Linked DNA regions of Sus scrofa. The protein of the gene in region 2 interacts with the protein of the main gene of each other region in a biochemical or structural test. Links are inferred from orthologs where the notes say so. Each region holds a gene or a part of one and is shown on either strand. Other genes may lie near its edges.

Region 1 (4,471 bases), on a different chromosome or scaffold from region 2:
AGGACAGGGCTGGGTAAGGTAGTCAGGGAGGGCCTGTGGTCAAGCACATACCCAAATTCATATCCTGGGGACTCTGGCTCCCTGCCCCCAACCCCGGGGCTGGGCTGGAGTTGGAAGGTGGTACAGGCAGCTCTGAACGAAGGTCGGTGTTTACTCCACCCCCTTCATGAACTCCAGGAATTCTGTGGAGAGAGGGGCGAGCATAGGTCAGAGGTGGATCGGTGCTGGCCTCTTGGCAGCAGGGATTCAGTGCACCCCCACTCACCGTCATAGTCAATGCGGCCATCATTGTTCTTGTCACCATCTTTCATGAGCTCCTCGATGTCATCCTCTGTGATGGTCTCGCCTGTCGCCTGAAGCATTATCTTCAGCTCCTCCAGGTCGATATAGCCATCAGCGTTTCTGCCAATGGGTGAGGGGAGCCTCAGAGCCCGTGATGGGGGCACAGAGAGGGGAAGAGGCAGCCCTGCTCATGACCCCGGGAGGCAGGGGAGGGCCACTGGGAGGTGGCGCATCCCATTCCCTCACTGTACAGAATGGGAGACTGAGGCCTTGAGGTCACAAGACTGTCCCCCTCTCCCCAGCTCTGCTAGGGTTAGGGTCAGAGGTCAAGGGTCATACACTCACTTGTCAAACATGCGGAAGAGGTCAGAAAGCTCCTCCTCAGACTTTCCTTTGCTGTCATCCTTCATGCACCGAACCATCATGACCAAGAACTCATCGAAGTCCACTGTGCCACTCCCTGGAGGGAGGGGTGTGGCACAGCCATTAGAGAAGGATGGTCAGAATGGCTGGCACTGCCCTTGACACTAGACCCCAGTGCTCTCACTGCATCCTCACACTAACTCTGTGAGGCCTGTGTGGTCCTTGGGCCCATTTTATACATGAGACGGCTGAGGTTCAGAGAGGCTAAAGAGCTCCTTTAAGGACACAGAGTAATAAGTAGCAATCCAGGATTCAGGGTCCCAGTGAGCTGGGAGTGCTATGGGTTTGGGGCTGGGTGGGGAGGGGAGGGGGCTCACCGTCTTCATCCACCTCGTCAATCATCTCCTGCAGTTCCTCAGGTGTGGGGTTCTGGCCCAGCATCCTCATCACTTTGCCCAGCTCCTTGGTGCTAATGCAGCCATCCTCGGCGCCCAGCACGAAGATGTCAAAGGCTGCCTTGAACTCTGTCCAGTAGGGGAAGAGGAGAAACAGAGCGGCCAGGGCTCAACAGCCAGAAACCTGGAAGGTCAGACCTCTAGTTCCACCTGTTAACCTACCCACTTCCCTCTGACATCTGAAGTCAGAGGGAGAGGGACTCTGGCCTCTGGCCTCCAGCCTGGGGTCCTCCTACTCCCCCAGCCCAGCCCTGCTGTTCCCCTACATGCGTGTTTGAGCACTCACCATTTTTCTGCTCTTCTGTCAGCTGCTCTACCTAGAGAGGAAAAGAGGTCTCAGGACTCAGGCTCAGGCCTTCGCTGCTGTGGAGGAAATCAACCCATTCCATAGCTGGGAAGACTAAAGCCAGGAAGAGGTAGGCCATTCCCAGGTCACAGAGCAGAAGAGGCCTCAGTTCTCCCTCCCTGCCCCCCAAAGCCCTGAGGTGACCTGGCTAGCCTCACTGAGACTGGGCTCAGGGCCAGGGTGACAGGTGGGAACCCCTTCCACGACCAAGGTGACCCTGAGTAACAATAGTCATCGCCCTCCCCACCCCACCCCCAACCCCCGGCTGAAACCCAAGCTGGGTGGCCCAAGAGACAGCTGTCCCTCAGGTTGGGACAATAAAACCAAAGTGGGGCTAGGCAAAGCCACCCACTGTAACCTGACCGGGGTGGCCACTGGGCTATTTTTAACGGGGGACAAAGTTAAACCTGGTGATTGTTCTGGGGACTCTGGCATGCAGGGGGTGGGGCAGCGTTATCTAGCCCCCTGGCCTGCTGGAGCCTCAGGAGCCAAAATTAGTTCCCAGCCCCGCCAGGCCTTGTATGGGCATGGGGCGGAGGACTGCCCCCCCAGCTCCATGGACTCCTGCAGGATAGGCAGAGGCACCCCCTTCCTTTCCCCGGGCTGAGGGAGGGGTTCCCCTGGGAGCAGCTGTCCATGTCAGATGTCCTTGTCTCTACGGTGGGAGGAGGTCAGTAACACACCCCCCTGCTGGCATGGAATCACATCTGAAGCCCCTCAGTGGGCCCTGCAGGGACCTGAAGTGACCACCCTCCAGCCCTTACCCCTGGCTAAGCCACTGATCCGGAGCCTGCCGAGCTGGATGCGGGCTGGGGCCTCAGCTCTCTGTTCCTTCTTCCCAGCTCCCCACCCCCATGCCCAGTCCCTCCCTGCCTGCCTTAAACTTCAGAGCCCCTTCTCCAGCTCAGGATTCCAGCTCTCCAGCCCCCTCCTCACAACCCCTATCCCACTCTCCACAGCATCTGCAGCCAGCCAAGGGGCTGGAGGGGGTGGGGGATTGTGGACATGTGAGAAGCAGAATATGAGGGGCAGCAGTGGGGGAGGTGGGGACAGGGAAACAGCAACAGAGCCTCAGAGGGAGAGCTTGGAAGGAACAAAGAGATGGAAAGAGACTAGAAACAGCAAAAGTCCAGAGACCAGTGACGTAGACTAGAGACATTTGGAGACAGGGGCAGACATGATGCCAAAGCTGCGACATCTTCCTCCACCCACCCTGACAGCTACCCACAGACCCTAAACTCCTCACCCCTTCCACACCCTGGAATGCCAGCCCCACCAGCCCCTGAGGGCCTGGGTTGAAAGTACGTGGTCCCTCTCCTGGATTCCCACCATCTCCTTCAGGTGACCTTGCCCCCATCATGAGCTGAATGAGCCCCCTGTGGGCCCGCCACCCCAGCCCTGCCCAGGCCCATCCCTCACCGCAGCCTTGTAGATGTCATCCATACTGGCGGCTCACAGGGCAGGCTGCTGAGGTTGCCAGCAGCGGCCCTCGGCTTAAATAGCCCTGCCCCGCCACATTCCCGGCCCAGCCCACCCCTGCCTGCCGTATCCTCCACTCCCTCCCCTGGACCTGGTGATCTCACACTGGCCTGAGTCCCTGTGTCCTCCGCCCAGGGCAAGGAGAAGATGAAGGGCTATAAGGACCAGGTCTCTCTCCCTCTGTCCTCCATCTCCCCAGGGACTCTCCAGAAAAGTTTTTTGAAAAAATGAAAACATAAGCCCAGGACAGACGGGAGCTGTGTACAGGGGCCTCGCCTGGGGCCCACTATACTGCAGCTCCTGTCTGCCCCGGAGGTGAGGCCCCTATACACAGCAGCTCAACCCCTATCCAATCAAGGGAATAGGTGAGGCTCCTGGAAGGACTTGCTTGAGGTCTGGCTGACGTGGCAGCTCCTAACTTAGGTTAAACCTCTCTGGAGCAGGGGCAACACTATGTAAGGAGAGGGTGGGAGAGCAGAACCCTCAGAGAAGCCTCGAATGCCAAGTTCAGAGTACGGTGCTGTGGTACTAGTGGAGAAGGAAGGCACTGACCTACCTCAGGAGAGTATGGGCTGGAGCCTTTCTGCCAAGGGTGCCAGAGAAGCCCTGCCTGAGACCTCTCATCTCCCCAGGGAGAGAAGTACTAGCTCTGGGCTTGACTGCATTCAATCAATCATTCAACAAACTCACCCTCACAGATGCCCCATCTGTGTAAGACTGTTCCCCTGAAGTTGGTTTACCACCTCTCTCTTCTAGATCTGGGTCTTCCCCTGGGTTAAGGCTCCTTCTCTGCCTGTGCTCCAGTACTGCAGTTCCTGGGTCCAGAGCCAATCTATCGCCCCCTCATTTTGAGCTCTAGTAGAACACCAGCGGGGGTCTTGTGCCAGATGGCCAGCACATAGCCATTGCTTCCACCTAACTCAACACCTTCTCGCAGAACTCACACCAGCTCCCTGCCTTGCCTGCCAGGCGTTTGCGTGGACTAGCCCACTCAGTTCTCTGGAAGCCCATGTGACATAGATCTGAGTCTTGGAGAGGTTAAGAACTGACACAATTATTCTGTCCTGCTTGCATTCTAAGCCCCAATTTTTCTTCTCCTTTAGCCTTCTTGTGCTCAACTGGGAATGAGCCCAAGAGGAAGGTGAGAGGTAACCACTGCCTCTTTTCTGGAGAAGGAAACTGAGACCAAGCGAAGCAGTGACTCGCTTCAGGTACGCCGGAAGGTGCGGGGCCATTGGTCCTTCCTTCCTGGGCACTGACTGGCAATTCCCAGAGCAGTTCCCGCCCGGAGCCTCAGTTTCTCCCCCGCTGCTAGGAGCGCGGCGGGCGGGGCCAGGCAGGTACAGATTACGCAAGTGGACCTTCCCGGGCAGCCTGCGCACGCGCGCCATTGGCAGCTGCTGTCAATTACGCGCGAGGGGCGGAGCTGGGCGGGGCGCGAGGAGGCGGCCGGTCCAAGATGGCTGCTTGGTGAGCAGCGTGGGGCGGGGGGCGGGGGCCGTCGGGGGGCGGTGGGACGCTGACCCCGCCCCCTGCTGCTGCCAGT
Region 2 (3,077 bases):
GCAGGACAGGGACTCACAGGCAGGTGGAAGGAGCTCTTCACGCAGCTCAGCCTCTCCTGGGCTAGACGGCCAAAGGGCCAAGGGCCAGGCCTGGGAGCAGCCACTTCCTTGTAGGCTTATCTCAGGAGTCACGTGATACTGCCCGGGACCACCAGGCCACACTCTGGCCCAGACATTGGTCTCTGCTTCACAGGAGCCGGAGTCCTCCGAGCTGTTGAGGGGGCCCCCAGGCCCCCCCCATTCCACCCCAGCAGGCTTGCATCCATCTCAGGCATGGCCCAGATGTCAGGGGGATATAGAAGGACTTGACCTAGAGGACAGACCACCGACCACCCACCTCGGGACAGAATCCACCCTGAAAGCAGTGGCCTTTTGGGAGCATGGAGGTGGATAAAGGCAGACAGGGCCAGCTCGGAACTGCCCATCGTGAGGAAGAAGCTGCCTGGTGGCCAGGCCTAGTACTGCAGGGTGTCCCCAGACAGTCAGGAATGCCAGCACCCCCACACCGGGGACAGGTGAGCCGGCTCTGCGAAGGAGGGGTATTGGGAGAGCAGCAGCTGGGCTGGGAAGGGAGAGGCCCCCTTGACGGCCGAAGCTCAGGCTGCTGAGCCGAGCGTTTGGGGTGAGCCTGTGCTGTGTGACGTCACTGGACTGGACACAAGGGGTACCCTGCACTCTGAGCCGAGCTCCTGCCCACAGCCCAGCACAGCCTCCCTCGCACACTCCCTGTCCCCCTCGGGTGCTCACAGCCAGAGCTGCAGAAACGACCAGGACACTGCTTTAATGGAGAGGCTGTGACGCCCTCAGGCACGCGACATGCTGAGTGGAGGGGGCAGCCCCTCCCGGGGCCTGGCTGCCCCACAGCGGCCAGGAGCCCCAGGGATCCCTCCCGCCAGGCGAGGTCTTGGCACACCGCTGTTCTTCCTCAGGAGTCTGTTATCTCAGCCCCGCAGGAGAGCGCTCAGGCTGGAGGGGAGACGGGGAGCAGAGCGGGACCCTCTGAAACGCAGGGGGAGATGCTGAGATGCGGGTGAGCGGGGCTGGAGGAAGAAGCGTGCAGGGAGCCCAGAGCACAGCTCGGCCAGTGGCCTGTAGGGACAGAGGGACAGACACCATCAGCTTCCCATGGCCTGAGCCCCTCACCCACGGCACACACAGCCGGGCCTTCTCAGGGCCCCCGGGGGGGCCACTGTCCTATTGGTTCCCATGAGCCTTAGCTCGCGGGGGGGGGGGGCCAAGACCCCTCCCACATGGTACCTCCCCAGCGGGGACTTCTCGCACCAGCCCAGGCGTCCACTCCACCTCTGAGCCCAGGCACGCCCTCCTTGCCCCTGCCACCACATGGCAGTGCTCAGCCCTTCAGAAGGCTTCCCTGACGGGCGGGGCCATCGGACAGACCCCTGGCCCTTGCATGTCCCCTCAGCATGCCCACTGAGGGCTCTCTGAGGCCTAACTTTGCCGCTCTCTCCAGCAGTTTCCTCAGAGAGAGGGTGGTCTTATGTCCTCGAATGGAAGCCCTGGTCCGGGCACTTTGCAGGATCCTGCAGGAAGCAACTAAAATGCTTCGACTTTGAAAAATCAGGGCTGGAGGTCCCTGGGGGTCGTGGAATCCAGGGTTCTAAGCTCTTGCATCAGAGTCACCAGGGACCGGCCCCACCCCAGAGTTTCAGATCCAGTGCCCCAGGGAGGGCCCAGACCCTCTGCACCCAGGTCTGATACCACCACTGATCTGATGCCACCCCAACACCCCGGAAGCAGGCATGACGAGTCCATGGCATTGGTGGAGGGAGAGCAAGACCAAGCCCCCAAGAGAGCCCCCCTCCCGGGACCACACGGCTCACCACCTCCCCACTGCCCTCTAGACTGGCAGCCCTAGGAGTGCCTGGCAGGCGCTGGTACCTCTACTGAGACGTTGGGGACTTGGCGGCATCAAACATTTTCTTCCGGCCCTCCATCCCAGACATGGCCTCGACGTTCTTTCTCCAGTCACCCACCTCCACGGGCCGCTCCTGCGGGGGCCACCCACATCAGAGACTTAGCGTGGGGTGGGGGCAGCCCAGCCTCCATGCGCAAGAGGCACTGGTAAGAGGAGGTCAGCCTCTCCCACAGTGGGACCCCTGTCTTTCTTCTCCAAGATCAGGACCCTTAGGCCTCCCCCAGGCTCCCAGGGGTTCTGGAACCTTCTGCCTGCTGGCTGGGCTCCGGGGGGGGGCGGGCATTGCTGAGGCTGCATGGGGTGAAGTCAGGGTCTGACCTTCTCCGTATCCTCCTTCTTCACGGACTTGAGGTTGGCACGCAGGTCCATGGACACCTTGTGTTTAGAGCCCAGCAGGGCACGCAGCATGGCATCAGCCGAGACGCGGACACGCCGCAGGGGAGGGCGCTTGAACTTCCCGCGCAGATCCAGCACCTTGAGCTTCAGGTCCTTGATCTGCAGGGAGGGGGCGACTCAAGGCTCCAGGTCTCAGCCAGAGCCCCCAGTTCTCCAAGCTCCAGGCCAGACTCCCAGGGCCACCCAGACCCACCATCACCTCGCAAGCAGCGCCCTCTATTCTATTCTACCGGTGCGGGCTGAGTGCAACCCGGGCAGGGAGGCCGTGAGCTGTGACGGTGATGGCCGTGGAGGGAAAGGCAGAAGGGTTCACTTCCTCTTATTCCTGCTTCTAACCACTCCCTTCCCAGGGAGCCTTCCAGCAGCTCCCTGAGGGCACAGCCCTGGTCCAGCAGGTGGACAAAGCCCCAGGTCCAAGGCCCTGGGGGATTTCAGGGACCACTTCTGGAGGGAATTCTGGGGAGACCAGTGACCCCACAGACCATCATTCCTGTGGGGAAAGGCGGAAGGAGGGCCGTGGCCCTGGTCCCCGCCCCCATCCCCCTCTGCTTGAATAGGCGCCTGGGCACTGCCCGCTCCAGCAGCAGGAGCCCTGCCCACCGCGTTCCACCCACTGCTCTAAGACGGTCTGGGTGGGGTCGGTGGCCCCGTGTCCCACACCAAGGGAGCGCTGAGCACTGAAGTCGGACTCAGAGACCACATTGGTGCCTGGACCTCCTCTGTGTGACCCAAGCTGAGTTGCTCA

What was found.
Region 1: the proteins of TNNI1 (region 2) and TNNC1 are reported together in a solved structure, tested with the Homo sapiens proteins (2 studies listed by BioGRID, with this or other methods). The link is inferred for Sus scrofa from reciprocal best matches to the Homo sapiens genes TNNI1 and TNNC1.

Annotation. Positions count from the first base shown.
Region 1 is NC_010455.5:34,591,423-34,595,893, forward strand, and holds TNNC1 (troponin C, slow skeletal and cardiac muscles), read right to left. Parts: upstream 2,899-4,471; 5' UTR 2,890-2,898; coding exon 2,866-2,889; intron 1,418-2,865; coding exon 1,387-1,417; intron 1,170-1,386; coding exon 1,023-1,169; intron 743-1,022; coding exon 628-742; intron 403-627; coding exon 266-402; intron 183-265; coding exon 151-182; 3' UTR 149-150; downstream 1-148. UniProt on the Homo sapiens protein: Troponin is the central regulatory protein of striated muscle contraction. Tn consists of three components: Tn-I which is the inhibitor of actomyosin ATPase, Tn-T which contains the binding site for tropomyosin and Tn-C.
Region 2 is NC_010452.4:23,787,523-23,790,599, forward strand, and holds the end of TNNI1 (troponin I, slow skeletal muscle), read right to left. Parts: intron 2,432-3,077; coding exon 2,255-2,431; intron 2,010-2,254; coding exon 1,902-2,009; 3' UTR 1,900-1,901; intron 1,090-1,899; 3' UTR 757-1,089; downstream 1-756. UniProt on the Homo sapiens protein: Troponin I is the inhibitory subunit of troponin, the thin filament regulatory complex which confers calcium-sensitivity to striated muscle actomyosin ATPase activity.